Linked DNA regions of Anolis sagrei. The protein of the gene in region 1 interacts with the protein of each later gene in a pairwise test. Links are inferred from orthologs where the notes say so. Each region holds a gene or a part of one and is shown on either strand. Other genes may lie near its edges. The genes, in order: ACOT8 and PEX5.

What was found.
Region 2: the proteins of ACOT8 (region 1) and PEX5 interact in binary tests that used the Homo sapiens proteins (3 or more experiments, as listed by UniProt). The link is inferred for Anolis sagrei from reciprocal best matches to the Homo sapiens genes ACOT8 and PEX5.

The regions. Positions count from the first base shown.
Region 1 is NC_090024.1:248,872,636-248,888,872, forward strand, and holds the start of ACOT8 (acyl-coenzyme A thioesterase 8), read left to right. Parts: upstream 1-9,518; 5' UTR 9,519-9,533; coding exon 9,534-9,616; intron 9,617-11,502; coding exon 11,503-11,639; intron 11,640-11,740; coding exon 11,741-11,966; intron 11,967-14,697; coding exon 14,698-14,855; intron 14,856-16,237. Other genes in the region: ZSWIM3 (zinc finger SWIM domain-containing protein 3), read right to left, coding at 2,239-4,372, 6,577-6,731. UniProt on the Homo sapiens protein: Catalyzes the hydrolysis of acyl-CoAs into free fatty acids and coenzyme A (CoASH), regulating their respective intracellular levels. Displays no strong substrate specificity with respect to the carboxylic acid moiety of Acyl-CoAs.
Region 2 is NC_090022.1:198,467,705-198,483,941, reverse strand, and holds the start of PEX5 (peroxisomal biogenesis factor 5), read right to left. Parts: upstream 10,031-16,237; 5' UTR 9,846-10,030; intron 9,272-9,845; 5' UTR 9,236-9,271; coding exon 9,086-9,235; intron 4,416-9,085; coding exon 4,380-4,415; intron 3,326-4,379; coding exon 3,193-3,325; intron 3,005-3,192; coding exon 2,870-3,004; intron 702-2,869; coding exon 596-701; intron 1-595.

The DNA.
Region 1 (16,237 bases):
CTACAACTCCCAAATGTCAAGGTCTATTTTCCCCAAACTCCATCTGTGTTCATATTTGGGCGTATTGAATATTCGTGTAGAGTTTGGTCCTGATCCATCTTTGTTTGCGTCCACAGTGATCTCTGGATGTAGGTGAACTACAACTCCAAAACCAAAGGACACTGCCCACCAAACCCTTCCTGTATTTTCTCTTGGTCATGGGAGAACTGTGCGCCAATTTTGGTTCAATTCCATTACTGGTGGAGCTCAGAATGTTCTTTGATTGTAGGCAAACTATACATCCCAGCAACTACAACTCCCAAATGACAAAATCAATTTTTTAGTAAAGGACATACTTTGGGTTGTTAAGTGCCTTGTGTCCAAATTTGGTGTCAATTCATCCAGTGGTTTTTGAGTTCAGTTAATCCCACAAACGAACATTACATTTATATATATATATATATATACACACACACATATACATACATATATATACACACACACACACATATATATACACACACACACACATATATACACACACACACACACACACGCACACACTAGCTGTACCCACCCATGCCTTGCTGTGGCCAACCTTCCCTCCCTCTTTCTCTCCTTTCTTTCTCCCCTTCCTTCCTTCTCTTCCTCTCCCCCCCCCCCCCCTTTTCTTTCCCTTCCTCTTTCTCCCATTTTCTCTCTCCTGATGTTTGGCCTGCATCTGTGGCAGGCATCTTCACAGGTTGTGAGGTCTCATTTGCTTAATGACCTTCTGATTGTAACTGAAAGACCTCACAACCTCTGAGGACGCCTGCCATGGATGCAGGCGAAATGTCAGGAGAGAATGCTTCTAGGACATAGCCAGACTGCCCGAAAAACCTACAACAACCCAGGCTGTGGAAAGTTTGGTTCCCCCCCCCCCCCATCCCCGCTTCTTTTCCAGTTCTTAGTTCTTTCTTTGACCTCCTAGAGAGAAGCTGCCTTGCGCCTTCTGCAAAATAAACCCATCACAATGAAGGTGTCTCAGAGTTCACTCATTTACAGGCTGGCCAGAAGTTGAAGTTCACTCCACAGTCATGAAAAACCACAGCAGCCACATTAACTCAGAATTCAAGGGGTTTATTGGAACCAGGCGCCACTCCGGCCTCGTTTGGAGTCCAGCTCAGCTCCGCAAGGGGTTTGGGGGTCAAAACTGCACCCCGGTGACCTTTTCCGCAGCCCCCTGAACTGGTTCCCTTCTTAAAGGGGGGGGGGAGCGCCCTTTTAAATTAACACGGCATAATTTATTCATAACGAATCCACAACCATTCCTTTGCCAAGATGGCGCGGGAAATGAACAGAACTAAAAAACGGCTTCAGCAGCAAAGCCGCAGAGTTAATAATAATAATAATACCAATAAAAAAACTTTTTTAACTCAAAGAGTGAGATCTGCATTTTCAACAACTAATTTGGTCTTGAGAACATAGCAGCAAAACCTGCCCCTCTGGCAGAGGCTTTGGGGAGAGCACCAAGGGGGCCCCGCCTCCCCTCAGACACCCCCACAAACACCTGGCCTCCACCTCAGGGGCTTCGGGGCTGAAACACAGACACAGGGTGCAGCGGACCTTCCCACACAACGCAAGAGAATATCAACAATCCCGGTGGGTTTCCTTAACCTGACCTAAGCTAAAATAACAATGTTGTGGAGAATGCAGAATAATACACCTGAATCAAGAATATCTGGCAACAAAAACCAACAAAGCAAGTTGTGCAGAGGACAAAAAACACAGAGGATACGACACCCCTTGGTATGAAGCGGCTTCCCTGATTGTCAAGCCTGCAGCCGGATGCTGGCCCCCCTCAAGGCCCTCGCTCCACTCTGGCCTGCCTTCGGGATACAGGAGGGGGTCTCTCAATGGCACTCAAGCAAGGCTGGCCTCACCTGCGTCCTGAGCAGAGGAACCCCGCTGCCCTTCGTCCCCCTGCACATCTCCCTAGAGCGGTTTCCTCCCGATGTTTTGAACTACAGCTCCCAGAATCCCTGATAATAGGTCAAAGCAGCCAAGACTTCTGGGAGTTGAAGTCTGAACACCTGGGGGCTAGAGTTTGGGGGTCAACGCCAACGGGGAAGGGGAGGCCCTTTCATGGCTGAGGTGTGGAAGAGCAACCCTGAGCTCCCTGGTCCAGGAAGGGCCGCAACGGGCTTGGAGAATGGCCCAAGCCAGGACCAGCCCCTCCGACCAGACGCTGGACTGACCGACTGGCCAAAGGGGCGTGTTTCAAGCCACCGGAGTCTGGCTGGTGTCCAGAGCGGCCCCGTGAGCGACCGAGGAGATTTGGGCTCCCTCCAGCTCTTCCTTCTTGACCCAGAGGAAGGGGAGGTCCCCCACGTTGCGGATGTGGAGGGGCTTCGCGGCCGCGGCCTCCTCTTCCCGCAGCTCGGAGCGCTTAGTCCAGATGCTGACGATCATGCGGAGGGTGGCGCTGCGCTCCTCCAGCTCCTGGCCCTCCTCGCTCTGCAGGAGCAGGTTGCCCAGCTCCGTGCTGAGGGACTGGATCATGTCCTGACGCTCCTTGGGTACTGGCGTGGCCACCGGCAAGCCACCTTGGGGCCACTCCAGGTGGTTCTGGCGCAGGGCGGGCAGGTGCTGGTACTTCCTCTGCCAGCGCTTGGCCACCATGCCCTCGTCCACCACCTGCTGGTTCGCCAGCAGCACCGCCAAGACGTGCCGGCAGGGCAGCTGGTAGCGGCAAGAGAAGTAACAGTTGCAGTTCCGGCCGCCCCCGCCGACCTGGTGGGTGTCCTCCAGCAGCTGGACCGCGGCCTTCCTCCTGGAGGAAGCCGTCACCAGCTGGGTGGACTTCTGCACCACGTCCCACTCGTTCAGGCACAGCTGGTAGGCCAGCTCCGTGCAGGTTTCCTTCAGGGCGGCCAGCATGGTGGCCACCGGCTTGGCCGGGCTGTGCCGGGCGCTCTGCTTGGGCGGCTCCTGTCCGGCCGCGGGTGGGGGGTGCTTTGGCGGCCGAGGCTTGCGCGGCAGGGGGGGCCGGGGCTGGCTCTTGAGCTCCTCCATGAGGATGCTGCGCCGCCCAGCGCCCGCCTTCTCCCCGTTGGAGGAGGGCTGGTTGAGGTGGTTCTCCAGGCCTTTGGTGTTGAAGTCGTTGGCGGACTCCACGAGGCGGAGGAGGCCGTCCTGCAGGGAGAGCTGGGGGCCGAAGAGGCTGGCCAGCTTCTGGGTGGTCAGCTCCAGGCTGTCGATGTAGGTGCTGCAGGCGTGCAGGCCCTTCTTGGCGTGGAAGTACCACAGCATCTCGCAGGAGAACCAGTGGGCCTGGAGGTGCTCAAAGAGGCCGGGGTCCACCAGGCCCTTGACCACGCGCGAGAGGGCCGCCAGGCTGGCCTCGGACGGGGAGAAGACGGCCTCGCGCAGGGCCGCACGCAGGGCGCTCTTGAAGGTCAGCGAGGCGCGGGACTTCTTCAGCTTGCGCTCCAGGAGCCGCACCGCGTGGTAGACGGAGAGCAGCACCTGCGCCGAGGGGAAGAGCTCCCGCAGGGCCTCCCGGTGGAGGAAGGCCACGTCCACCAGCACCGCCTTGACCCTCCTCCGGCCCCCCTCCGCCTCCCCCTCCCCCTCCGCGTTGAACTTCTTGAAGACGGAGAGCATCTCGCGCACGTTCTCGGGCGTGTCGTCCCTCAGGATGGCCAAGTGCACCAGCTTCCCCACCCGGTCCTTGCTCTCCACCAGGAAGGCGTACAGCGTGTGGCCCCCGCAGCCCACCACCCGGTGCAGCAGCAGGCTCTCGGGGAAACGCAGGAACAGGCCCTTCATCTTGCCCGTCTGGAAGCTCAGGCGCTCCAGCTCCTTGCTGCTGCCCAGGCGGAACGAGGCCAAAGAGCCCGCGTCCGTGCGCTGGAAGACCCGCATCACCTCATCGATGTGCACCAGGGGGGAGCTGCTGGCGCTGCTGCCACCGTATTCGCCCGCCTGAGGGGCCCCTGGCTCCTCAGAAGGAGAAAGGGAAGCAGGCGGGCACTTCTCGGCATCGGTTCTCGTGTTCTCGCTCACGTCGCTGTCGGCTTCGACCTTCACCTTCACTTCTGCAGGCTCCTCTTTGCGCAGCTTGGCCGGAGGGGCGCCGTAGGCTCTGGAGGCGGCCATTCTGGCAGCCAGCCTGGCCAAAGGGGAACGGTCAGAGCTGAACGAAGGGGCCTTGGGCTCCGCATGGATGTGGTTGGAGTTCAGCTCCGTGATCACTAGTCGGTCCAGCTCCTCGCTGTATTGCAGGACCAAGTAGGCCGGGCACAACTGGGGCTCCTCCTCCTCCTCTTGCTGCTGTTGTTGTTGTTTCTTCTTCCTCTTCTTCTTGGCCTGCTCTCGCGACTGAATGCAGCCAAACTTCACCCGCATGAACCTGGGGATCAGAGAAGAGGAGGAGCTGTAAGGGAGGGGTAGTGAGGTCTCACAATCTCTGAGGGTGCTTGCTTGCCACAGATGCAGACGAAACGTCAGGAGAGAATGCCTCTAGAATATGGCCACATGTTGGGCTTCATCCCTGACTGCACAAGTCTCCAGCTCTCAATGAGTAGCTAGCCTAGATAAGACTGAGGGATTCCTCCCCAATTTCCTGTAGCTAGGTTGTTTAAGAAGGGGTTAAAAGGGGGGATTGTCTTACTGATCTTTGCATGGCACTATCTCCTCCCCCTTTGAATACCTAGGAATGTAATCCTATAGGGAAACGTAACTTCCTCTTTTAAAGGTGTTTTTATTGCCCTGGCAAAAGCCATGTGGCCTGTCTCCATTTTCTGGCCCCTTCTCCCTTTGTCTTCTCTAGAGTGAGGAAGCATCCTTGCCATTGTCCAGGCAAAGATGTGTCACTTTTTCACCCATGTTCCAGCATTATTTTCAATTTTAATTTTACATTTGGCCTTCCCATAGTTTTTAATCATGTGGTCTTATTGTTAATGTTGCATTATTGTATTGTCCATGTTTTATTTTAATTGCTTGTATTGTTGTATTTGGGCTTGGCCTCATATAAGCCGCACCGAGTCCCTTGGGGAGATGGTAGCGGGGTACAAGTGTTGTTATTATTATTATAAAGATGCAGTAGATATAGTTACTTTTATTATTTTTCCTTTTCCTTAAAAGATAGCTCAGTGAAGCTAGTGAGCTCCAAGAACCTTTCCTATCTAGAATGGATTTTTTTATCTTTAATAAACATATTGTTTTTGATCCTATGAGTTGTGGATCTGCAATCCTGTTCCATCTTGTTGAATGGAAGCCAATCCTTGCTCACTACATGTAAGCTTCTGCTGCTTCTGAACTGTGCATCCTGCACTCTGCTATACTTTGGTGGAATCACCCCCAGAGAGGGTCATTTTTGAGCCTCACAACTCTTGATTCCCAACACCATATAGCCCCAAAAAAACAACCAAGTGATTCCGGCCATGAACGCCTTCGACAATACAAGTTAGACACTATTAAATCTTGTGTTTTATTTGAAAGTAAACTCTTACTAAAGAGAGCTGTACATAGCAACATAGTTTATGAAGAAACTGTTCAAGATGATAAAGTCAAGATACAAACTCTCTGAAACATTATGGAAGTTTCTAACCCTTCACAAGAAATGTGCCTGTATCTTGAAGTCCATGAAGTTATCAGTAAACAAAACCTGTGATCTTTTTAAAAAGTCTGCTTGCATCGCTGTCGGCGCAAAGCATCAGACAGAAATGAAATATCTACACACCTAGCAATCCTTCATTACTAAATAACCTTTGCTACACTGATTAAGTTGTGATCCTAACAGTTCACAATGGGCAGTGATCCTACCAGGTCAGGATCTATTATCCCTAATATTTAATACTGATGATGTTTAATTCTGATTTAATCTTTGTATATTTTATGTTGTATTGAATTGCTTTTAGAGTAAGACACTTTGAGTCCCCGAATGAAGAGAAAAAGCAAGATATAAATAATAATAATAATAATAATAATATTTAAAAATCTTTATTTATACCCCGCTACCATCTCCCCAAGGGACTCGGTGCGAGTTAAATGAGGCCGAGCCCACAATACATCAGTAAAAACAATAACAGTAATACAAATCAATACATAACTCATAAAAATAAGCAGTAAACATTAACAATAACACGACAACATTTAAAAACCTATGGCTGGCTAAATGTAATAATTAAAAATTTTAAAATAATGCTGAGCATGACCAGGTGGGATACAAATTTTTCGGAGAGGGATGGGGCATGTAAACAATCCTAGATCACTAATAAAGTGCATTTAGGGACATATTGCTGGGAATTTCCTTATTCTGGGAAGGCACACCATGATAATTTCTCTGATCGTACAGCATTGAGCCACGGCAGTTAAAAGGGTGCCAAACTGCATTTAATTTGGCTGCACCTACAGCAGGCAGGGGCCAACTTTGACCCTCCTCCAGGTGTTTTGGACTTCAACTCCCACAATTCCTAACAGCCGGTAGGCTGTTAGGAATTGTGGGAGTTGAAGTCCAAAACACCTGGAGGAGGGTCAAAGTTGAGGCTGCGCTTGGAGGGCATGGGCGTGACTGTCTCCCGTGAGCCCCTTGCCCACTCGCCCCCTTCTTACGTGATATCCTCCCGAATGTGGGTCCCGTTCTGTCGGTTGTGGAAGCGGACGGAGACGCAGCTCTTGAGGCCAAACTGGAGCCGGCTCTCCTTCTTGTAGGCGGCAAAGTGCTCAGAGAAGTCCGTGTAGTTCTTGAAGCAGGAGCCCAGCTCCATGGCGGATCCCGGCCCTGGGGAACGAGGACACATCGCAGTCACCCAACAGAATTTCCCAGAAGACTTCACAGCTCTGTTACCTCACCACTAGCTACTTTCAGTGGGATCATGAATTCTATGAACAGAAAGATGGATTAGCCATGGGGAGCCCTCTCAGCCTGGTCAGAGCAAATTTCTACACGGAACACTTTGAAGAACAAGCTCTAGAAACAGCAACAAAAAGCCCATCACATGGTTCAGATACGTAGATGACGCCTTGACCATTTGGAGCCATGGAGGAGAAGAACTTGTCTACTGTACTGGGGGCTTCTTTATCAGGACCTGCTAATCACTTCCCAACAAATGATTCCCCCCCCCCCCCGCCCCAACCAAGTAGGAAGCAGCCAGGCTTTGAAGTTGCAAAGCCATTCAATGCTAATCGACATTTGCAATGTCCACACTTGCCTGGATCAGGCAAGAGTTCTTTCTTTCTTTCTTTCTCCCTCCCTCCCACCCACCTGGGACATGATTCCACAGATAGATAATAATAATAACCCCATCTCCTACGTTCCCAACAGACCTCACAACCTCTGAGGACTCACAGCCACATGCGTAATATATATATATATGCATGCTCAGTGCATAATGAGTTCCTTAAAAACAAAAGAACCAATGAATGAAATCACACCAAATTTGGCAACAAAACGTCTCACAACACAAGGAGTGACCAACACTCAAAAAATTATGATTTTGTCATTTGGGAGTTGTAGTTGCTGGGATTTATAGTTCCCCTACAATCAAAGAGCACTCTGAACTCCACCAATGATGGAATTGGGCCAAACTTAGCACACAGAACTCCCATGACCAACAGAAAAAACTGGAAAGGTTTGGTGGGCATTGACCTTGAGTTTGGGAATTATAGTTCACCCACATCCAGAGAGCACTGTTGACTCAAACAATGATGGTTCTGGACCACACCCAAATATGTGCACAGATGGCGTTTGGGGGAAATAGACCTCGACATTTGGAAGTTGTAGGCACTGGGATTCACAGTTCACATACAATCAATGAGCATTCTGAATCCCACAAACGACAGAATAGGGGCAAATAATTTAAGGGTTGTTAAATGTATTGTCGAAAGCTTTCATGGCTGGAATCACTAGGTTCTTGTAGGTTTTTTCGGGCTATAGGGCCATGTTCTAGAGGCATTTCTCCTGACGAAATGCAGGTGAAACATCAGGAGAAATGCCTCTAGAACAAGGCCCTATAGCCTGAAAAAACCTACAAGAACCTAATTTAAGGGTTGTATGGCCATGTTCCAGGACCCCCGTGACCAACAGAAAACACTTAAGGCCATCCAATCCAACTCCCTTCATCAGGGCAAGGAAACGTAATTAAAGTCCTCCCGACAAAGAGCCACCCAGGCATCGATATAGATAGATAGATATGATTCTGGAATATTGTGTCCAGTTCTGGGCACCACAATTGAAGGGAGATATTGACTCTAAGCTGGAATGTGTCCAGAGGAAGAGGGCGACTAAAATGATAAAAGGTCTGGAGAACAAGCCCTATGAGGAGCGGCTTAGGGAACTGGGCATGTTTAGCTTGAAGAAGAGAAGGCTGAGAGGAGATATGATCAGGGCCATGTATAAATATGTGAGAGGAAGCCACAGGGAGGAGGAGGAGGGAGCAAGCTTGTTTTCTGCTTCCCTGGAGACTAGGACGCAATGGAACAATGGCTTCAAACTCCAAGAGAGGAGATTCCATCTGAACATGAGGAAGAACTTCCTGACTGTGAGAGCCGTTCAGCAGTGGAACTCTCTGCCCCGGAGGGAGTGTGGTGGAGGCTCCTTCTATTGAGGTTTTGAAGCAGAGGCTGGGTGGCCATCTGTCAGGGGTGATTTGAATGCAATATTCCTGCTTCTTGGCAGAATGGGGCTGGACTGGATGAGGGCCCAGGAGGTCTCTTCCCACTCTTGGATTCTAGGATTCACACACAGAGAGAGATATAGTATCCTAGATTTGAAAGGGACCCTTAAAGAAGGACTATGATGTGTTGCTTGTTCCAGGGTGGGCAAACCAGACACTCTCCACATCAACAGTGACAAAGAAACAGCAAGAAATACTGTTTACCCTCAAGCAGAAAGACATGACATAGATTAGAAACCAACACTTTCTCATTACTTTATTTTCCAGATCACCAGACTGGGCCACAGCAACGCATGGCAGGGGGCGGCTAGTTATTATTATATTTACACACACACACACACACACCCTTTCTTCTCTTCAGAGGAGACTCAAAGCGCCTTCCTTCCTTCCTTCCATTAGCAGCCCATTCCGCCCCCCGGTGCCTTTTGGGGAAACAAGCGTGCCTCTGGGCATGTGGGGAGCGCGGCCTGCTGGCCTGCCTGGCCCCCTCCCTCCCTTCCTTCCTTCCTTCTGAGATTTCCCCAGGAAGCCCCTCCTCCCCCCTTTCCTGCCCCACCGGAGACCCCTTGGGAGGCCAATTAGCACGCGCCCTAATTACCCGGCGAGGCCCCTCCGAGGAGGAAGGAGAGAAGGAGAGCCACCGCCACCCCTCGGACTGCCCTTGCGGATTCTCTCCCTGCGCATGCGCGTGGCAGGCACAGGCGGGCTCTCTCTCTCTCTCTTTATAAGCCCCGCCCTCCGAAGGAGAGCCCACCAATCGGGAGCTCCGGCGGCAAGCGGGCGGGCGGCTCCGCCAATGGCGAAGCAGGAACTCTTCTGCCCCGCGTTTCCTTAAGGAAACGCGGAAAACCGACCGGAAGTGAGTGTCCCGAACGGGACCCGTTTCCGTCCAAGATGGCGGCCGCCGGGAAGGACCTGCGAAGCGTGCTGGTGACCAGCGTCCTCAACCTGGAGCAGCTGGACCTCGACCTCTTCCGGTCAGTCAGGAGGGTGGGCGGGCGGGTCGGTGGGCTGCGGCCCGGAAGGAGGAGGAGAAGGCCCTGCACTGCAACAGGCCCGGCTCTTTCAGCCGCTCCTCATGGGGCTTGTTCTCCACACCCTTAACAACAATAATAATAAGGAGGAATAATAATAATAATAATAATAGGTAAAGGTAGTCCCCTGACATTAAGTCCAGTCATGTCTGACTCTGGGACTCTGGTGCTCATCTCCATTTCCAAGCCAAAGAGACGGCGTTGTCCGTAGACACCTCCAAGGCCATGTGGCCACTGGCAGGACTGCATGGAGCTCCGTTACCTTCCCGCCAGAGTGGTACCTATTGATCTACTCACATTTGCATGTTTTCGAACTGCTAGGTTGGCGGAAGCTAGGGCTGACAGCGGAATAATAATAATAATAATAATAATGTATTGTCGAAGGCTTTCATGGCCGGAATCACTGGGTTGTTGTAGGTTTGTTCGGGGCTCTATGGCCATATTCTAGAGGCATTCTCTCCTGACGTTTCGCCTGCATCTATGGCAAGCATCCTCAGGAAAGCAGTGGAACTCTCTGCCTCAGAGTGTGGTGGAAAATCCTTCCTTGAAAGGTTTTAAACAGAGGCTGGGTGGCCATCTGCCAGGGGTGCTTGGATTGTGCTTTCCTGCATGGCAAGGAGTTGGACTTGGAGTCAAACTCAATTATTCTATGATCCCAGATTGGAAATAACATGGAAACTGAGCAATTTAACAGGACCGATTCAACTTAACTTAAGGATATGTCTAGTAATGTAATATAGGAATTTGGATTGGATAATAATTCAGATCACATTACAGGTCGTACGTCATAGGAGCCGTCAGTCAAAAGCACAATTTATGTATTTATTTATTTATTTGCAGCTTTTTTTATATTCCACCCTTCTCCTCACCCCGCAGGGGACTCAGGGCGGATTACAGCGTACACATATATGGCAAACATTCAATACCCATTTTAACATACAAACATATACAGACATAGACAGAGGCTATTTAACTTTTTCTGGCCGCCGAGGGAGCTGTCGCTTTCATCATCCATCTGCGACACTGATGAAGCACTTCCGCATTCCCCGCATGCTTTTGCTGGAGTGCTTTGCTGGTGTCTTTTTATGGCCTCGTAAATTTTGTTAAATTAGCCTCCCCACACATAGGTGGTACCTACATTTCCTACTTGATAGATGCAACTGTCTTTCGGGTTGCAAAGGTCGACAAGAAGCTACACACAATTGGTTGGAAACCCACTCCAACCCGGGCTGGCTTCGAACTCATGACCTTTTGGTCAGAAGGGATCTTAAAGCAGATGACATTCAGCCCGCTGCGCCACAATCCCGATGAGACATCCATGTCTTTAATTCCTTGCGGAATGTGGCTAGGGAGGGTGCTAGCCTAATCTCTCTAGGGAGGGAGTTCCAGAGGTGGGGGGCCACCACCGAGAAGGCCCTCTCTCTCTCTCGTCCTCACCACCTGCGCCTGAGAGGGGGGTGGGAGCAAGAGAAGAGCATCCCTGGACCGCGCGGGCTCATAAGGGAGAAGGCGGTCGCGCAGATAGGCAGGTCCTGAACCAATTGCACCCTTCTGGCAGCCGGCCTTGCCTCTCTCTTCCTTTTCCTTCCTCTAAAAACAAGGACAAAGAGGCTGAGAGATATCTTTTATCCTAGAGCTGTGACTATATTGCACTCTGTGGTTTCACCCTGATGTGGCATGAGGGGTTGTGCAATAGTGACTAGAATATGGACGGATGGGTGCCTTGTTTTGTAATTCTATGTATCTAATGTGTATTGGGGATTGCGTGTAATTTTCTCGTACGAGGTACACGGACAATAACGTTATTCTTTCTCGTTGTCTTCTCCCAGCGGGAGGCACTACTGGGTGCCGGTCACCAAGCGTCTCTTTGGCGGCCAGATCGTGGGCCAGGCCCTGGTGGCCGCCGCAAAGGCCGTGAGCGATGACGTCCACGTCCATTCCTTGCACTGCTACTTCGTCAGAGCAGGTCAGTACGGAGCCCTTTGGGGGGGGGGGGGGGAGGCACACAACCCATCAAGGCTGGCTGTCGGCTGAGCCCTGCTGTGCCCCCCCCCCCCCCCCCCGCAGGGGACCCCACGGTACCCGTCCTCTACCAGGTGGAGCGCACTCGGACGGGGAGGAGCTTCTCGGTCCGGTCGGTCAAGGCCATCCAGCACGGGATGCCCATCCTCACCTGCCAGGCCTCCTTCCAGGCGGCGCAGCCCAGCCCCATCCAGCACCAGTTCCACATGCCGGACGTGCCGCTCCCGGAGGAACTCCTGACCCAGGAGGAGCTCATCCACAAGTACCTCCAGTGAGTGCCTTCCCTCTCCCTCGGCTCGGCCACGGGCAGAGAGACAACCCATGGGGAAAAGGGGCAAAGAGAGAGAGAGAGGGGGGGCTGCCTGCCTCCTCCCTTTCTTTGGCCACTTCTGCCTGGCTCACTGACCCTCCGTTGCTTGAGCCTGCAGAGCTGCTTCTTATACATACGCTATATATACACTTCGTGTCCAACCTCTCTTTGAGACTGCACCTCTTTCTATGAACCAAATCTACTGGGGAGGCCCTTCTCTGGGTCCCACCTCTGTCTCAAGTGCGGTTGATGGCAACGAGGGAGAGAGAGGGCCTTCCTTCTTGTTGGTGGCCCCCTGACGTTGGAATGCCCACCCCAGGGAGATCAGGCCAGCCCCCACCCTCCAAGCTTCCATACACAACTGAAGACATGGTTTTTTTCATCAAGCCTTTGGCCATATTTAGATTCCTTTAATGAATATACGTGAGGTCCTATAGATTTTCTATCAAGCACTTTACAAGACTAGATAGATTCCTGTTGGGTTGTTGTAGGGTTTTTCGGGCTATATGGCCATGTTCTAGAGGCATTCTCTCCTGACATTTCGCCTGCATCTACGGCAAGCATCCTCAGAGGTGGTGAGGTGGTTTTTTTTACTGAAGGTTACTGTTGTTTTTACCAGCAGCTGGTGCTGCACTTTTAACCAGGGGGCATTCTGAAGTGGTGATGATTTATGTGGGTTGTTTATTGTTTTATGTTACACTTTTTGTATTTTGTGCGTTGGCACCTTTCATAGAATCATAGAATCATAGAATCATAGAATCAAAGAGTTGGAAGAGACCTCATGGGCCATCCAGTCCAACCCCCTGCCAAGAAGCAGGAATATTGCATTCAAATCACCCCTGACAGATGGCCATCCAGCCCCTATTTAAAAGCTTCCAAAAAAGGAGCCTCCACCACACTCCGGGGCAGAGAGTTCCACTGCTGAACGGCTCTCACAGTCAGGAAGTTCTTCCTCATGTTCAGATGGAATCTCCTCTCTTGTAGTTTGAGTGCTTTCTGAGCCATCCCAAGTCCCTTTGGGACATGGTGCAGGGTACAAATAATAATAATTATTATTTAAATTGCTATTATTATTATTATTATTATTATTATTATTATTATTATTATTATTATTAAAAATGCATCTGTTTCTGCTTCAAGGCAGCAGAAATCTCTCCTAGGCTAAGTGAACGTCCCATTCTGAATTGTGCTGGGGCTCCGCTGTATTTCCAGCAGTAAGCAAGGCCTGTTCCCAGCTCCCCTTCTGGGCCATTTTTATTTATTTAGATCCATATACACACACACACACACACACACACACACACACACACACACTAGATTAGATTAGATTAGATTATAAGCACAGTGCAGGAGACAAGTTCTCCTCCTCCATGGCTCCAAATGGTGAAGGCATCATCTACGTATCTGAACCATGTGGTGGGCTTTTTTGTTGCTGTTTCTAGAGCTTGTTCTTCAAAGTGTTCCATGTAGACTCTGCTGGCTTCCACAGGTTTCCACAGCCACCGCCTCTCCCCCTTGGCTTTGGCTGTGTAGCAATAGGGAGCCATCTCCCTCCAGAGAGGACATGGCACGTTATTGCTAAATTGAGGAACGGGAAGGCCTGGTGTCTGCAGCTGCGCAGACTGGGACACAACGGAGCGATGCATTCATATTGCAGGGAAGGGGATTCCACCTAAACATTGGGAAGAACTTCCAGAGCTGGAATAGGCTGCTTCTGTGGACCGGGGGGGGGGGGGGGGGGGGCTTCTCTGGAGGTTTTAAGCAGAGGTTGGAAGGCCGTCACTTGGGAGGACACTTCCCTTTGACAGAAAAACATTGAAATGCACAGATAGAGGTTATGGGAGGGCTGGCTCCACCACAGAGTTACCTGTGAAGAAGACTTTGAGTCAAGTGTCCCGTGAGGCAAGGGGATTTGGGGCAGGGGTATCCAGAGGAGCCTAGAGCCTAGATCAAGGGGAGTCCTGGTGCCTCTCCCTTCTGCTTTGGTCAGACCTCTTCACCTAGAACATGGTGTCCAGTTCTGGGCAACACCATTTAAGAGGTCTTCACAAGCTGGAAGGTGTCCCGAGGAAGAGGGCCACTCAAAGGATCACAAGTCCATGAATAATCCCTCTGAGGAGGAGCGGCTTAAAGATCTGGGGATGTTTAGACTGCAGAAGAGAAGGCTGAGAGGAGGCATGAGGGCGGCCATGTTTCTTCTGCCCGGGAAATAGGACTCAGTGGCGCCATGGGTTCAAATGACAGGGAAGGGGATTCCACTTAAACGTTAGGAAAGATTTCCTTCCCACAGCAATGGAATTCTCTGCCCTGGAGTCCAGTGGAGCCTCCCTTTCAGCAGAGGCTGGATGGCCACCTGTTTGGGGATGCTTTATTGTGCTGTTCCTGCATGGCAGAGGGTTGGACTAGATGGCCCTTGTGGCTTCTTCCAACTCTCTGATTCTGTGAGGGCTTGGCTTCTATGAGGGCCTGCCGGATAAAATGGGATTAGATTGTTCTGCTGGGTTGGGGGGGGGGGTGCCTCTGCTATGGTTCTATGACCTCCAAGGCAGCAGTGGGGGATGATGGGAATTGGTGTCCAACACGCCCTGGAGAACCAGGCATGCCCACACTGCATTAGTACCCACTATAGTGTGGGCGTAGCTCCCCTGTTTCCCTCCCCAGCGTCCTGGTTCCTCTCTCTGCCTCTCCAAAGGGACCCCAACCTCCTGGAGCGCTACCGGCAGGGCCTGACCAAGATGCTGGCCCAGGAGGTTCCCATTGAGATGAAGCCCGTGAACCCGCCCGACGTCTTCCGCCGGAGCCAGCAGGAGCCCAAGCAGCTCGTCTGGGTGCGTGCTCGGGGACACATCGGTAAGCGCCGGGGCCGCTCTTAATAATAATAATAATAATCTTTATTTAATACCCCGCCAGCATCTCTCTCCCCAATGGGGGGGACTTGGGCCGGCTTACATGAGGCCAAGCCCAACAGCATATTACAATAAGGTAAAACCAAAACACAATAGCAACACAATACAACATAGGAGTACAAAGACGATAAAGCAAAACCATACACAGTAATGATGTGCAGCTTGTGGCATCTTTGTTACCTCACAACATTGGAAAGACCTTCCATTCCTGCTCTAAGAGTGTTGTTGCCTTTTTCATTGCGCGGCAATTACTTTGAAAGGGGTTATTCTCCTCCAGAACCTTTGCTTTTGTGGCCACCACAAACTAAGTTGAATGGGCTGAGAATGGATGATGGGATAGTCACTGAAAAACAATTGCAAAATCTGCTCTAGCTGGACGATGCCCCTCCTGCAGAGACAGTTCCTGCAATGTAATAAAAACCTTTCCCGTGTTTTCATGATAGAACCAATTCGGAAACTATATTTATCACCCAGGAACAAACATCGTGTTACATAGTGTTGTTGTTGTTGTTGTTGTTAGTAGCAGTAGTAGTGCAGGCTTCTAACCGGAGGACAGAACTCCTCTGTTGCGTCAGCTCCACTGGCTGCCACTTTGCTACCGAGCCCAATTTAAAGTGCTGGTCTTGGCCTATAAAGCCCTCAACGGTCCAGGTCCAACTTATCTGTCCGAACACCTCTCCTCCTATGAGCCTTCTAGAATGTTAAGATCGCCTGGGGAGACCCTGCTCTCGGCACACCCTCTTTGCAAGCGCAACTGGTGGTTACAAGAGACGGCCTTCCTTCCTTCCTTCTCAGTGGTGGCTCCCCAGTTGTGGAACACCCCCCCCCCCCTTTTCTGGTCTTTAGAAAACAGCTCAGGAGCTAGCTCTGCGCCCAAGCATTGGAAGAATAGGTCACTCTGGGTTTCGACATGGTGTGAATAAGGATTACAAGCAAGGATCTGGGATGAATTGCTTTACACACTTGATATGTTTTATTTTGCATATGATTTTATGTGTTTTGTTGATTAATTGTGAATTATTTTAACGGTGGGGATATGTTTATTGTTACTGTTGGTTTTGCCAGCATTGAATTTTTGCCGAAGCTGTAAGCGGCCTTGAGACCCCCGAGGAGTGAGAAGCACAGGGTGTCAAGGAAGCCGACATAAATCAATGAGAATGCCTCCCTGGGGCATGTCTGGGGGAAGGCAGAGGGTGCCGGGCTGCCCTTCCTTCCTTCCTTCCTTCCTTCCTTCCTTCCTTCCTTCCTTCCTTCCTTCCCTCCCTCCCTCCCTCCCTCCCTCCCTCCCTCCCTCCCTCCCTCCTCTCTTTGAGCAGAGCCCTCATC
Region 2 (16,237 bases), on another chromosome or scaffold:
CATTTCACTCAATCTGCAGGGATACGGTTGTCTGCTGTGGATTTGTCTGACAGTCTATTTAATACAAATCATTAATCCACACTTGAAAGGATCTTCAGACAGAATAGTATTTAGTAACTAATCTCTAGACTAATGTACAAAAGGGCGTCACTGCAATTTTTGAAGCCATGGATTACAAACTGCGGAATACAAGAACCCACAGTGAATGCTAACCTCCAACAATAAATTAGCAGGGTTTGTCTGTATGTGTTTCTCGTGCGGCCAACCTCCACCAACAGAATATATTTATTGTCCGGGATCTAGGAAACAAATGTTCTAAAGAAGTGGTTCTCAAACTGTGCTCCTCCAGATGTTTTGGACTTTGGCTCCCACAATTCCTAACAGCTGGTAAATGCTATACTTTTACAGATGTGATTAGAAGTCAAGCCCATTTATGGCATATCTATTCCTTGTATATTTGAATTCTTAGGCTCAGAAGGATGAGCCAATGAGATGGAAATGCAATTTTGAAAGTGCGACTTGGGATTAGAATGAGATTTTGTCAAATTCAAGCTCACACACAGATAACTATGGAAAGAAACTACTAAGTACTCACCATTTATCAGCTTGTGTTTGATCTTCTGATTCACCCAGCCACAACTTCTCCTCTGACTGCTCCAAGTATTCTTCTGCCCACTTAGCAGGAGACACAGACAAAGGATCTTTGAAGAAGTGGGAGGGAAAAGAGGTTTTTGAATGTGTATTTTCCTCCTAACAGGAAGGACGAACTCTCTCCTGAGATGTACTCTCTGCAACTCAGAATAACCAAAGGCGTCTTTTTTTATACTTAGACAGCCCACTGGCATTACAACAAACTCACCAAACCCATAGGTAACTCCCTTCCATAGCTCTGTTATCTAGGATTTTCTTAACGAGAGAAGCTGAGGATTACATGCCATCTCCAGCATGCCAAAAGAGTTTAGGCTTTCACATTCAAAACAACAATAGGATATTAGTACAACATTTCTCTCTCTCTCTCACACACACACACACATATATATACACACACACACTTTTGCCTAGCTTTCATAAGAAGTTACTCTGATCTAACTCATGTCAGTCATAGACACAAATCAGTGGGGCTCAGTTTTATTTGTCCCAGAGCCAATGACACCTAGCAAACAACAATAAATCTTTTGGATTTGGTGAAAGCAAGATTACTGCAATTTGGATTTGGAAGGAGTGAGGGAATAGCAACAGAGATTCACTGAAGGAATTGGAATAGCCAGACTTCATAAACACAGAGAAAAATTATGGTGGGGGGAAGGTCCTAATTACAATTTTACCTGTCTAAAAGAATGTCATAACAAACAGGTGACACATTGCTTGTTCATTGTCATTACTGAAGAAAAAAGAAAAGGTCACTCAAACTGCATGTTCTCTATGTTGAGTAACAGGAAGCCACAGACAAAATATGCCATGTTACAAGGGGGGGGGGTCATTAAAAATTTCCCCTGACCCACTTCCTGTGGACTGAGAGCAATGAAACTTGACACAGTTATGAGTCCTTCTCTACATAGGTGCCACCTAGGAACACACACTTCTCCCATCTTTTTAAGTAACTGTAAACACCTCGCTTGTAGAAGTTGACAGGTTGCTCCAAATCAGAAATCAGAGTCTCATTATCTGAAAAATGCTTGCCTTTCAAAAATAGCTTCGTTGTTGGAAAGAGGTTGGGTGAATAAGGGGGATGAGGTAGAATTTCAAAGCCACAGGAGCATGCTTACATCTGGGCAACAGGTGAGTTGTGAACTGGTGCATTGTTTTGAAGAAGGCGGGCACCTTTGGTGAGCATGCCACATCTCTTGGTTCTGATGACCTCCCACAATTTCCGCAGCAGTGAAGCATAGTATGCCCCAGTGATCATGGTACACTTTGCTTGGAAATCCATTGATACTACTCCGTGCTGGTCCCAAAATACTGTGAGCATAATCTTGTCTGTACAGAGTAGGGCATGTGCCTTCTTTGGAGGGAGTGAGTTATGATATTCCCATTGCATCAACTGGCCTTTAGTATCAGGATCATAGTGATGGATCCAGCTTTCACCCTGTGTGATCAATCTGTTGAAAAAATCCTCCTGGTTTCCATGGCACATCATCAATAGAGCCCAAGAGCTTTCAACTCATTCCTGCCTCTGAAAAGGTGTGAGCAGCCAGGGAACCCAGTGAGCAGAAACCTTATGCATGTGAAGATGATATTGGATGATGTTTTCCATGGACCCCACACTAATATTGACATTTTGGGCAAGGTGGCGAATGGTTACGAGGCTATTTTCCAAAATGCCGACCTCCACTTGCTGGATGGTGTGTTCATCAGTAGCAGAGTGGAGTCGCCCTGGAATTGGAACTGTTTGCACCAAAGTGCGGCCACATTTGAGCTGACAATGCCAGTTCTTGACTACATCATATGATGGGGAATCATCACCATAAACCTCTTTCATCTCATCGAAGGTCTGCTTTGGTGTGTGGCCTTTCAAGTAAAGGAACTTGATGACTGCTCTATATTTCACTGAGTCCATTATCAAACCTCACACCACTCCAGCACTTGTAAAAACAAGACTGTTATCAGTTCTGAGTTGTAAATTGGCATGTAACCCATAGAGACTTATATCATTACACATGTGCAGTTTCCACATCCTGTGATAAATAGAAGTGGGTCAGGGGAAATCTTTAAAGAATGCCCCTCATAAGACTGGCTGGAAAATGGAGCTAAGTCATAGAATCATAGAGTTCGAAGAGACCATGTGGGCCATCCTATCCAAGCCCATTCTGCCAGACAGGTAAATAAAATCCTTCATGAGATACTGCTGGCCCTCAAAATCTTGCCTCACCTGCAACTTCAGCAATGAACTCCTGGGACCAGTCAGCTTCGTTATAATCCGTAGAAACATCAACCACACTGTCGGCAGCATTAAGGAACTCTTGTGACCAGTTTTCAGAGAGAGCCAGGGCTGCAACCCCTGGAGCTGAGGGACAGAGAACAAGTTAACATGGGTGTTCAAACTTTAGCAAGAGTAGTACCAGTACACAAGATTCCCCACCTTACGCTGTTTCCTAAATTCACTAACTTTCCTTCCAATTCCCAGAGAAATCCTTCCTCTGGACAGGAATGGATGCCATCATCACATGCTCTCATCCCCTGTGTAATATTTACCTCTCTGTGGGGCTTGCCGAAAACTGGATTGCTCGATTTCTTGCATCTCAGCCAACAGATCATCCATCTTGAATGTTTGTGGTGCACGAGACAGCAGGGGGCCATTTTGCTCTTGAAGGAACTCTGCCACCAGCTACCAAAAAGCATTCGGGGGGAGGGGGGTACAAATAGAGTGTATGTAAATACTGCAGAATAGTTTAAGGGTGTTGGCAACTCCAAGACTAATTCATTTGTTATGGTATAGTTGGCCCTCCACTTTTGCGGATTTCACTTTTTGTCACTTTGCTTATTTATGGGTTATTTGGTGCCACCTCTGCTGCCGCCCTACATATGGACTGCAAGTCTGGTAAGAGTGAGGTAGTCCGTGAACATGTAATGAGGCTCATATGTTCTTATTAAAAATGTAGGGCAGCAGTAGAGCTGGAGCCTGCCTCCCTCATACACACACACCCCTCACCTGCTAACTGGGCCATGACGGGGGCAGAAAAACAAGAAAAGGGGCCAGTAGCAATTTCCCCTGTTTTGCTGGGATGAAGCAGGTGGCACTGCAAAATACAGCAATAAATCCTCTAAGCCAAGCCTCTCTCCCATTTGTTTTTCAAGTCTTGCTGGGGGGGAAGGGGGGAGAGAAACAAGGGTTTTGGCTTAGAGGATTTATTGGTATGTTTTGTATGGCCACCTGCTTCATTCCAGGAAAAACAGGAAAAAATGCTTCTGGCTCTCTTATTTGGTTTTGTTTTCCCCTGGAAGCAGTAGGCTGTGGACTGGTAGCAATGTCAATGCATAGGGCTTGCTTTTCCTCCTAGAATCTACTGGCTGAGGCCTGTGAGGTTGAGATGGCAGCCACGCTGCAAAGAGGCCGTGGAGCTGTGGCAACTACTGTGGCCCAGTTAGCAGGCTGGGGGAGGGAGCAGGGCAGAGCAGCATGGTTTGGGCCCCTCGTGTCCCAGAAAGAACAGGGGAGGGGCTATTTGGGCTTTCCCACATTTGCTATGATCTTGTGGCCCTAGCCCCTACCACAATGGGAGAATGACTGTCTAATCTTGTGAGGATTAAGCAAACTGTAGTCAATATAAACTCACAAGTCTTTGTTTTTACAGCAATAGCTAACAAAGCCACCCCTCTAAAAAACACAGAGCACACAACAGAACGAGAAGGAAAGAGAAAAAAATCATTGAAGTTCTTACTTCGTCTTCTGAGGCTCTTCCAAGAGGTTTAGATATCTACAGAAGAAAAGGGAATGTTATCCGAGAACTCATAAAAAAAGAAACATTTGAGAGGTGGCACATTCCAAATTTTACAGGACCCCTCTTTTCCTACAACAGATGAGACAATATTTGCACATCATCCCAGGTAGAGCTCAACAAACTTACTTGTAACAAAAACTGTTGCAATCTCAGTGATCTCTGTGTTTAGAAAGACTCTTGCAAAACCATTAGGATTCCCATATAACTGGTTCTTAAATCTTCCTGAGAAGAATTTAATGCCCTTAAATGAACAACTCAGGTAGGCCTTCTCAGGCTCATTTCCTCAGAAAATAGTGGCAAAGCTATCAGGACATTAATGTATATTTGGCAGAACACCAACAACGACTTTTGGGTCTAGTTGTTAGGGAAAGCTACCCTAAAATAAAGCAGAGCATCCAAAAATCAAACTGGATACCAATAGTTGAGCAATCAGCCCAAAGGCGAGCAGAACATGCAGTGCCATGTGATGTGGCCGCAAAGATTTCAGAGCTTACGAAGCAAACACGCAGAATCCGATCTTTTAAAAAATCACAAATCATTTACAATAAAAGTCATTTACAATAATAAAGAACTAACTACATTTCTTCATGGTGAAGAACTGAATCTGAGCTACTCTAACACCCATCTCTCCTAAGGGGAAAAAGGGGAAAAAACTCAATCATTACATCTCTCCTGACACACAAGCAGAGAGAGATCTCAAAGCACACAATACATATTATATTCTCCATACTAAAGTGTAAGAAGGCAGAAAATTAAAAAAAGGCTTGCAGTAGACAAGTATTCATAAATAACCAATCAGAATGAGAGTAGAAAGAGAGGAGATGAAAAAGATACACCCCCAACTGTCATATAGGAGACTTGGGTGAAGGGAATTCCCTTAGCCTATCCTAAACTAACTGATCCTTGTTGAGGACTTGAGATTTGGACAGGGTGGGCTTGGATTCCAACATTAGTGAGGATCCCATCAGACAGATACACTCCACTGCCCATCTAAACTTTATTTCCAAAGTACAGTGCATCTGGAGGACACTCCCCCATTTCCATTCCACCTCCAAAGTGATGGGCTTGCTTAGGGAGCTACTTCAGAGACACTTGTGATTTTCAGCCAATTTTGGACAATGCATGGGGCAAGTTAGAGTGGGATGTTAAAATAGACTCCTGTTCATTTCCTTCCAGAAGTAAATTAAGCCCTTTGTGGCTTGGTCTCTCACCAATGTTTGCAGACAAGAGAGATTTAAAAACGGGCTTAAAGCTAACCTTTAAAAATGTGGTATAAATACAGAGAACTAAAAAGCCGGGGTTCTCAAGCATTGCAACTGGAGGTCAGCTCTTACCAACAGTTCTATGGATTTTGAAGAGGTACAAAGAGAGAGTGAAAGGGTGAAACATGACAAGAGGAAGGCATGTCAAGCAAACCCATGTTGGGACCACCTGCTATCTAGAAATCTATGTGAAATACCATGCAGATCCAGAATAGGTCTTCACTGATCCACGGCCAAGACTCTACCTCTAGAAGGGGCATGTTGCTGGGAAGGTTGTGGGTTGGATTTCTGGGGGATGTGATATTTAAAAAACCAAACATTTTGTTGTATTTTAACTGTATTTTGAATTTAACACGAAAAATACTGGGTTTTTTTTAAAAAAAATGTATTTGCTTTGTTTCAAATGGATCAAAATGTATGACTGTTAGCCTCCTTGAGTTCCCTCGGGGAGAAAGGCAGGGTATAATTAAAGTAAATTATCACACTATGTAACATAATTTGAAAATTTTGCTGTTCCTGGTTTGAAAGTGTTATTTCCTGTTTAATTGTATGGTACTTAATGTTGAAAGTAGTTGTTATACTCTTATACACTTTGTTTTGGTGGCTGCCACAAACTATGTTGAATTGGTTGAGATATTCATTGGAAAACAATAGCAAAATGTGATATAGCAGAATGTCCCACAAGAGCAAAGTTTTTGCAGTTTACTAAGTTTTTCCCCCCATATGTTTATGATAGAACCAATTAGGAAATGACATTTATAACCCAGGAACAAAAATCATGTTATATAGTGAGAAGACATTCATACTCGGCCGAAAGTGATCACCTATGATTAATCTCTTACTATCAGCAGACCAGCTCCTGAAATCAAAAGTCGACTATCCATTTTCCATTTATCTGGAGAATGTGGTGGCCTCAGAGAGGCAGAGAATAAATCAATGGAATTTTAAGAACCATGTAATAATAACTAATTATGATTATTTCATTTATTACCTGCCTCTCCTCGTGGCAGGTTAAAAAACAATTAAAATACATAAACACAACAAAAACACTACAAATATACACACTAAAACGTACCTCCATAAAAGTTACATACAAAACGTATCTCTATGAAATACATACTAAAACAAACAATTGTTTTGTAACCCACCTCCAGCCATGAGAAGAGGCAGGTGAGAAATATTATTATTATTATTATTATTATTATTATTATTATTTTACTGACCCAAAAACACAGTACGTCATAGCAAATGAGATCTATATGCTAGATTTCATATCACAAAACCACAAGTCGAACACTTCCCAAGCATCTAGGACTGTGTGATGTATTTTTGAATGATGCGCGCCGATCCAAGTAAGATGATTTTGTGAATGTTTATATTTCTAAATGCCAGCTGAGATCTTTTGGCATGGCACTCAGTATGCCAATTACCACTGGGACCACCTGTACTGGTTTATACCAAAGCCTTTCAGTTCGATTTTGAGGTCCTGATAACGGCTGGGTTTTTCCAGTTGTTTTTCATGAATTCGGCTGTCACCTGGTATGGCGACATCAATAATCCAAACTTTTTTCTTTTCCACAATTGTGATGTCTGGTGTATTGTGTTCCAAAACTTAGTCAGTCTGGATTCAAAAGTCCCACAGTATTTTTCCATGTTCATCATCATCATCATTCTCATCCAGTGTACTATCATTTTATGTTGTACCTTTGGCCCACCCACTGTGTTTTATTTTCCATTATGTTACTTTGTACTGTTTATTTTACTTTATTGGTTTATTTATTTTATTGTGATGTTATTTTGTTGTTTATATTTTATGTTGCTGTAATGTATCACTGGGCCTGGCCTCATGTAAGCCACTCCGAGTCCCCTTTGGGGAGATGGTGGCAGGGTATAAATAAAGATGATGATGATGATTATTATTATTTGAAACACAACAAGATTTGTTGTTGTTGTTCATTCGTTCAGTCGTCTCCGACTCTTCGTGACCTCATGGACCAGCCCACGCCAGAGCTCCCTGTCGGTCGTCACCACCCCCAGCTCCTTCAAGGTCAGTCCAGTCACTTCAAGGATGCCATCCATCCATCTTGCCCTTGGTCGGCCCCTCTTCCTTTTGCCTTCCACTTTCCCCAGCATAATTGTCTTTTCTAGGCTTTCCTGTCTCCTCATGATGTGGCCAAAGTACTTCAACTTTGTCTCTAGTATCTTTCCCTCCAGTGAGCAGTCGGGCTTTATTTCCTGGAGGATGGACTGGTTGGATCTTCTCGCAGTCCAAGGCACTCTCAGCACTTTCCTCCAGCACCACAGCTCAAAAGCATCGATCTTCCTTCGCTCAGCCTTCCCTAAGGTCCAGCTCTCACATCCGTAGGTGACTACAGGGAATACCATGGCTTTGACTAGGCGGATCTTTGTTGCCAGTCTGATGTCTCTACTCTTTACTATTTTATCGAGACTGGACATTGCTCTCCTCCCAAGAAGTAAGCGTCTTCTGATTTCCTGGCCACAGTCTGCATCTGCAGTAATCTTTGCACCTAGAAATACAAAGTCTGTCACGGCCTCCACGGTTTCTCCCTCTATTTTCCAGTTGTCAATCATTCTTGTTGCCATAATCTTGGTTTTTTTGACGTTTAGCTGCAACCCAGCTTTTGCGCTTTCTTCTTTCACCTTGATTAGAAGGCTCCTCAGCTCCTCCTCGCTTTCGGCCATCAGAGTGGTGTCATCTGCATATCTGAGGTTGTTAATGTTTCTTCCAGCAATTTTCACCCCAGCTTTGCATTCATCAAGCCCCGCACATCGCATGATGTGTTCTGCATACAAGTTAAAAAGGTTGGGTGAGAGGATGCAGCCTTGCCGTACGCCTTTCCCAATCTTGAACCAGTCTGTTGTTCCGTGGTCAGTTCTTACTGTTGCTTCTTGGTCCTTGTACAGATTCCTCAGGAGAGAGACAAGGTGGCTTGGTATGCCCATCCCACTAAGAACTTGCCACAATTTATTATGATCCACACAGTCAAAGGCAACAACAAGATTAATACACACAACAAGATTAATACACAGCAAACAAGATCATTATGCTGGTTGTTATATTGGATCACATGTTGGACACTTCCCAAGTGTCTAGGACTATGTGATGCATCGGCAAATAATGCCTACAGATCCGAGTAGGGTGGCATTTTGCAGCTGACAGATGGTAATTTTGTCAGTGCTGATTGTGTTTAAGTGCAGGCCAAGGTCTTTAGGCACTGCACCCAGTGTGCCGATCACCACTGGGATCACCTTGACTACTACTTATTATTATTATTATTATTAATTAGCCTCAATCTTGGGATGGTCTGAGCCACACCACTCTCCCCACACCCTCTCACAACCCCACAGCTTCCTTCTACTTACCACCTCGGCTGTGGGTGGCCCAGAAGGCCATGGCAGGGTGCCCCGTAGTCCTTCCTGCTGCAGGCCCTTGTCCTGGGTGAAGTGGCTGGCCAGCTTCATCAGGGGGTTGGAGCCCCCGCACTCGGGCTCCACCAGCTCCCTCATGGCCATGGCAAGTGACGGGGGAGAAAGGGAGACCCTCCTCACCTGTTGGAGGAAGGGGCATAACTGCACTGCGGGGTCTGCTCAGCCAGATCATGTGACCTGCTTGGCTGGGTTTCCCTTGAGGGGCCCAGTGGGAAGCTGAGCTCTCTCTATATCCATCTAGACTAGGCATGGGAAAAGTTGGACCCACTGAATGTTTTGGACTTCAACTCCCACCATTCCTAGCAGCCTCAGGCCCCTTCCTTTCCCTCCTCAGCCGCTTAAGCAGCTGAGGGGGGAAAGGAAGGGGCCTGAGGCTGCTAGGAATGGTGGGAGTTGAAGTCCAAAACACTCAGTGGGTCCAACCTTCCCCATGCCTGGTCTAGATTCCCAACCTTTGGCGCTCCAGGTATTTGGGACTTCAACTCCCAGAAGCCCTTGCCAGCTCGGCCCACGACCAGGAATTGTGGGAAATGAAGTCCAATAGGTCCCTGCGGCCCACAGGTTGGGAAGCACTGAGTCCCTTCTGCCAAGCATGCAGCTCCTCCAGGGGGCTGGGGCTCGCGCTGGAGGGAGTGGTCCCTCGAGAGGCGCAAGCCAGGCCGCGGATTGGGCCTTCCCCAGCCTCCCTCCATACCTCTCTCCAAGCCTCTGCCTTGCCCTGATCTCCGGGCTCGGGAGCTTCTCTTCTGCACCGCCGGGGAGACAGCCACTCGCCAAGCTTGCAAGGCCTCGGCCCCTCCTGCTTCTGCTTCTGCTCCAGCCGCCGCGAAGCCCGGACTGGCGACCACTGCGCGAGGCCCCTCCTTCTGGCTCACGGGGGGCCCGCCCCTCCCTCGAGGCGCAAGCCCCGCCTCCTTCTCGCTCTCTGTCCCCGCCCCCGTGAGGCCTACCTGGCTAGACTCGCCAAAAGAGGCAAGGGGCGGGGCCAGCCCTTAAAGAGCCAGGCCTCCTGGAAGGAGAGGGATGAACCATGAACCATGAAGCGGGCCCAGGCTCTCCATGGACAGTTCCTGGGAAAAACTGAGAACCAAATTGACAAAGAAAAAACATGGATATGGCTCACAAATAGAACTTGGAAAAAGGAGACAGAGGGACTGATTTTGGCAGCCCAAGAACAAGCCATTCGAACCAATGTATTGTCGAAGGCTTTCATGGCCGGAATCACTCAGTTCTTGTGGGTTTTTTCGGGCTATATGGCCATGTTCTAGAGGCATTCGAACCAATGCCAACAAAGCCAGAATTGAAAAGTCGACAACAGATCCCAAATGTAGACTCTGCAAGGAAGTCCTCAGCTGCTGCAAGAAGATCGCGCAGATAGACTACAAGCAGAGGCATAACACCGTTGCTCAGATGATTCATTGGAACCTGTGCCACAAATACCATCTGCCTGCGACAAAGAACTGGTGGGATCATAAGCCGGAAAAAGTTACAGAGAATGAACACATCAAACTCCTCTGGGACTCCGAATTCAGACTGACAGAGTTTTGGAGAGCAATACTCCTGAACTCACACTCGTGTTAAAAAAGAAAGTATGGATTGGCAATGTCACAAGTACCACCTGCCAGTAGTAAAGAACCGGTGGGATTATAAACCTGCAAAGGTAGTGGAAAATGAACATGCAAAATACTGTGGGGTTGACAAAGTTTTGGAATACAATGCTCCAGATATCATGATTATAGAAAATAAAAAAGTTTAGATTATTGGTGTCGCCATAATGGGTGACAGTCGCATTGAGGAAAAACAAGAGGAAAAAACTCAGCCGTTATCAGGACCTCAAAATCGAACTTCAAAGGCTCTGGCATAAACCAGTACAGGTGGTCCCAGTGATCATTGGCACACTGGGTGCCGTGCCAAAAGATCTCAGCCGACATTTGAAAACAATAAACATTGACAAAATCACGATCTGTCAACTGCAAAAGGCCACCTTATTTGGATCTGCACGCATCATTTGAAAATACATCACACAGTCCTAGACGCTTGGGAAGTGTTCGCCTTTTGCTTTTATGATAAGAAATCCAGCATATAGATCTCATTTGCTGTCACATGCTGTGTTTTGTGTCAGTAATATAGTAATAATAATAATGATGATGATGATATAATAGTAATGCCCAAAAATGGAAGAGCGAAAAGATCCCAACACTAGAAGAGTGGACAATAAAAATCCTCGACATAATGAATATGGGTAGTCTAACAAATGCACTCAAGAAAAACCTGAAACCCACGATAAGAAAGACGGATTGGACAGCAATTAAGAACTTCTTTAAAATTAAGTTAGATATAATGAAGATACGATGAGGAGAGACAGAGGGAAATAGATATGAATATCAAGATATCCTGAATGGACTACATCAGAGGAAATTGAAGATTACTGTGCACAGTCCTCTATTTTCTCAGATTTTTCACCTTTTCTTTTTTCTTTCTTTCTTTTTTCTCTTCTCTACTTTCTTTACGCCCCCCCCCCCTTTTCCCACAATTCACAATTTACTGGTGGTGGTGGTTCTTCATTCTTATTGACTCATTGTGCATTTTAAATAAGTTGAGAAATAACCCCTTAATGTACCCCTATTTTATCCTTTAATAAAAGATTAATTAACAACAACAAGCCTATGCTGCCTGATAATCCGGTTCAAACAGATAATCCAGATTCAGAGTGCAGTCTGTTCAGCACCTTCCAAGTCGCCCAGTCTTCTGTGTGAAAAGGAGGAAGTTTCTCATCCGGTATCAGCCATGGATTGAGGTTCCGGGTTTTAGCCTGCCACTTTTGGACTTTCGCCTAGTGAGGTTTTTCTGCAAGTAGCTCTGTAGATCTTAGAAAGCTGTTTATTGATTTAAGGTATTGGCGTGCTGGCTGATATCTGAACAGAGGATGGGACGGAGATGTCACTGCCTTGGTCCTTTCATTATTGGCTGCTACTTCCCTTTGAAGTCAGGCCCCATCTACAGTGCCACATAATCCAGTTTCTGAATCTGGATTATCTACTTTGAACTGGATTATATGAGCCTACACTGCCAGATAATCCAGTTCAAAACAGATAATCCGGATTCAGAATCTGGATTATATGGTAGTATAGATCCATCCTCAGGGCCCTTCTAGACAGGCCCTGTATCCCAGGATCTGTTTATATGAGTCCCCCACTGCCAGGTAATCTAGGATAAACAGAAAACCTGGGATCAGATCCTGGCATATAGGGTCTGTCTGAAAGGGCCTGCTGCCAGATAATCCAGTTCAAATAAAATAATCTGGATTCACAAACTGAATTATATGATAGTGAGAAAAGACCAAATCCAGCCAGAAATACAACAAGATACCAGTGGGTGCAAGTTCTTGTAACTGAGCAAAACAAACAAACAAACAAACCCCACAGCAGGCACATCAACGTAATGAGCTTTTCCCCAACAACATTTCACAGATAAAAATAAGGAGATGCTAATGCATGCACCCAGCAGGCAAGGACTTCCCATATCACACCAAGGCACCCCATACCTTTCCACTGCATGCCAGGACAGGTGGGCCAAGCACCCACACATAGGTGCTGTGCAGCAGGTCAAGACTTGTTCCCATGCACTTGCATTCTCCATGTTCACGTGTTTTACTGGCACAACAAGGCCTCTTTCATGCTCCAGTACAAAGAAATTACAGTGCATGAGTGGACTGGGCCCTGAGGGTGAAAAACTCCTGATTCTGGGCACTAAGCACCTTTACCTGGAGTTTTTATCACTCTGCCAGAGACAATCATAAAATCATATTGCGGTGGACCCAGGTTATTCCAGGTGAAGTTTGACCAAAGCAGAATAGAGAGGGACTCTGACTTCTCTCAATCTAGACCAGGCTATTAGGAATTGTGGGAGTTGATTGAAGTCCAAATCACCTGGAGGGCCGAAGCTTGCCCACGCCTGCTGTAGGAAAGGAAGTGGCCTGAGACTGCTAGGAATGGTGGGAGTTGAAGTTTGCCCATGCCTGGTGTAGGTCATTCCAGGTGAAGTTTGACCAAAGCAGAATAGAGTGGGACTCTGACTTCTCTCAATCTTGACCAGGCTATTAGGAATGTGCCTATTGATGCAACCTAGACTCACATTGGCTGTTTTAGCTGCTGCATCACGCTGTTGACTCATCATCCAAGCCATTGATAAAGATGTTGAAAAGTGTCATCTAACACAGAAACCCCTGCCTTCAAATTAATCTGACCACAGCAGGGGGTTCCACAGTTCCTGGGAGTATGAGTTTTCCAAGTATCTGCAGGACAGAGGCACTAGCAACAGCTACAACAAGAGATTCTCCTTTTCCTCCCTTTTCCTTGGCCTCTTTGTAACAATTCCCCAATAAAGAAGTATCCTTTTAGTAACTTTCTGCTACCTGCCTGAGACATTGTGTCCTTTACTTACTCTAACTCTGCCTTAAACCATAAATTTTCCCTCTCCCGAGCCGTGCAGCCCTGCTGGCTTGCCTGGGACGCTCCAGCAGCGTCCCGGGGGGTGATCCTTTATACCGTGGATACGGGGACCCACCCCGGTTTCGGTATCCGTGACTTAACTGATCGGCCCCAGACCAGCATTATCATCTTTCTTGATTAATTATAAGTCTAACTACTATCTCAATTTCTGCTGAATGGACCCCTACACCCCTCAGATCCATCTTTCTCATCCAAAATTCCCATGTGGAAACCTAGGACCTTTTCATGGTCCCATGGTTCTGCATGACAGCAGTACCATTTTTCTTTTGTGTGTCGCCTCGAGTGGTGCCTGATGGTGCTTGCAGACCCCGGAAATTCCTCATGTGTCACCCCTAAAACCCAGGCTAGCATCAGGCCAATCTGATCATTTTTATGAATTGGGTTCCTTTTTTTATGAATGAACCTCCTTTTTTATGAATGGACTGAAGTGGGGCTTGGGCTCTGATTGGATGAGCCACATCGGTCGCTGGCCGCTCCTCCTGGCTCACTGACATAACAACCAATCACAGCGAAGCTGGCTCAGGGGCGGGCGTGGGAAATTTGAATTGGGAAAACTGTTTATATTCTGTAATTCCCTGCTCAGGAGTCATGTCTGCTCCTTTGCATGATACTGCAGTCATCATCCTTTCCAGCTGGAATAGAAAATAAACTTCAGTGGCTTTGCTTCATCCTGGTGAGATTTATTGGGAAATACGGAAACTTTTATTGGTGCTTATTGTCTCTCCAGGCATAGCTGACCCTCCTTTTAGCTTTTCACCGGCTTCTGCTCAGGCAGGGCCCGCAAAATCGTGCTCTGCTTTTTTAGCACTGGGCGCAGGACAAACTTCTGTGGCACCTCCACTGGCCACTTCTTTCCAGGCTGAAGAGGAGCCATTTGTAAGCACCTTTGGGTTCTGCCAGTTAACCCATTCCCAATTCACTTCTGTAGCATTGTCCAAGGACTTGCTGAAATCAATCTACATCTACAGCATTCATTTCATCTACCAAGCTTGTAACTCTATCTGGCATCAGTTGTTTTTGAGAAACCCAATGCTGACTTTTTCTGAATATGGTATTGCTTCCTATATGTTTGCAGATTGTCTATTTAATTATCTGCTCCATAATCTTTCCTGTCATTGATGTCAGGCTGATTGGGTAGTAATTGTTTGGGTCCTCTTTTATCCCCTCTTTGGAGATAGGAACAATATATGCTGAAACCTCTCCTATTCTCCGAGAATTCTTAAAGATGATTGCTATTGTTTCTAAAATTATTTCTACTACTTCTTTTAATACCCTTGGATGTAGTTCATCTGACCCTGGAAACTTTAGTTGTGTATCCAATTCTGTATTGATAAATTCTCTAACTCCCCCCCCCTCCATGCTTTTACTATTTCCATCCATGTACATACCAGAAATATTATAAGGTCTTTGATAGTTTCTCATTTTTGTCTTCAGACAAGAAGAAAAGCAGTAATGCCCCTCTGAGGGCCTTTCCACACAGCCCTATATCCCAGAATGTCAAGGAAAAAAATCCCACATTATCAGGGTGTGGACTCAGATAACCCAGTCCAAAGCAGACATTGTGAGATTTTCTGTCTTGATATTCTGAGATATAGGGCTGTGTGGAATGAACATAAGGGCAGTTTGAAATAGAAATGACAGTAAAATGTGAGCTTTGACAACAGCTAGTCTGCCTAATAATGATTGACCAGTCTTTTAGCTTTTAAAAATATAACAATATATTTCAGTGTGCTATGTCATTTGTTCACACTATTCCTAAATATCTATAGCCTGAAAGACACATTGATAAATTGGACATTCTTTTTAGAGCTAATTGGTTCTCTTTGTTTGTAGTTAATATTTTTATTGTAATTTATTTTGAATCCTGTATGTATGCAATTGTGTCCCACGTAGGCACCGTGCCATCCACAATCAAAGTAGCTGGAGTGTTGTTTTAAGGACCACTTTGGAATGGGTGAAAGATTTGTCTGTTCACACTTGCGCACTCGCAGTGAAAGTGCTTTGGTCTTTTGCCACCACTAGAGGTCAGATAGGATCCACCAACCAAGACCTTATAAGCCTTTTCCCCAAGACTATAGCCCCATCTAAAATGCCATATAAAACCCAGATTATCTGCTTTGAACTGGATTATATATAGCAGTGTAGACTCATATAATCCAGTTCAAAGCAGATAATGTGGATTAGCCTGTTTTGTATTATATGGCAGTGTAGGAGGGGCCATGATTTCCATGGTTGAACAAGAAATTGAATCCTGCTTCTACAGCCTTAGTCCCACACTCAAACCTCTACACCAAGGGCCAGGTCACAGTCCCTCAAACTGTTGGAGGCCCGGATTATAATTTGGAAAAAAATATGAATGAATTCCAATGCACACTGCACATATTTTTTGTAGTGCAAAAAACAATACAATAATTAAAATGAAGAACAATTTTAACTTATTAGTATTTCAATGGGAAGTATGAGCCTGCTTTTGGCTGATGAGATTGGATTGTTGTTGTTGTCCCGTGCTTTCAAGTGGCTTAAGACTTAGGCTGACCCTGAGCGAGGGCCAGTTAAATGTCCTTGGAGGGCCGTA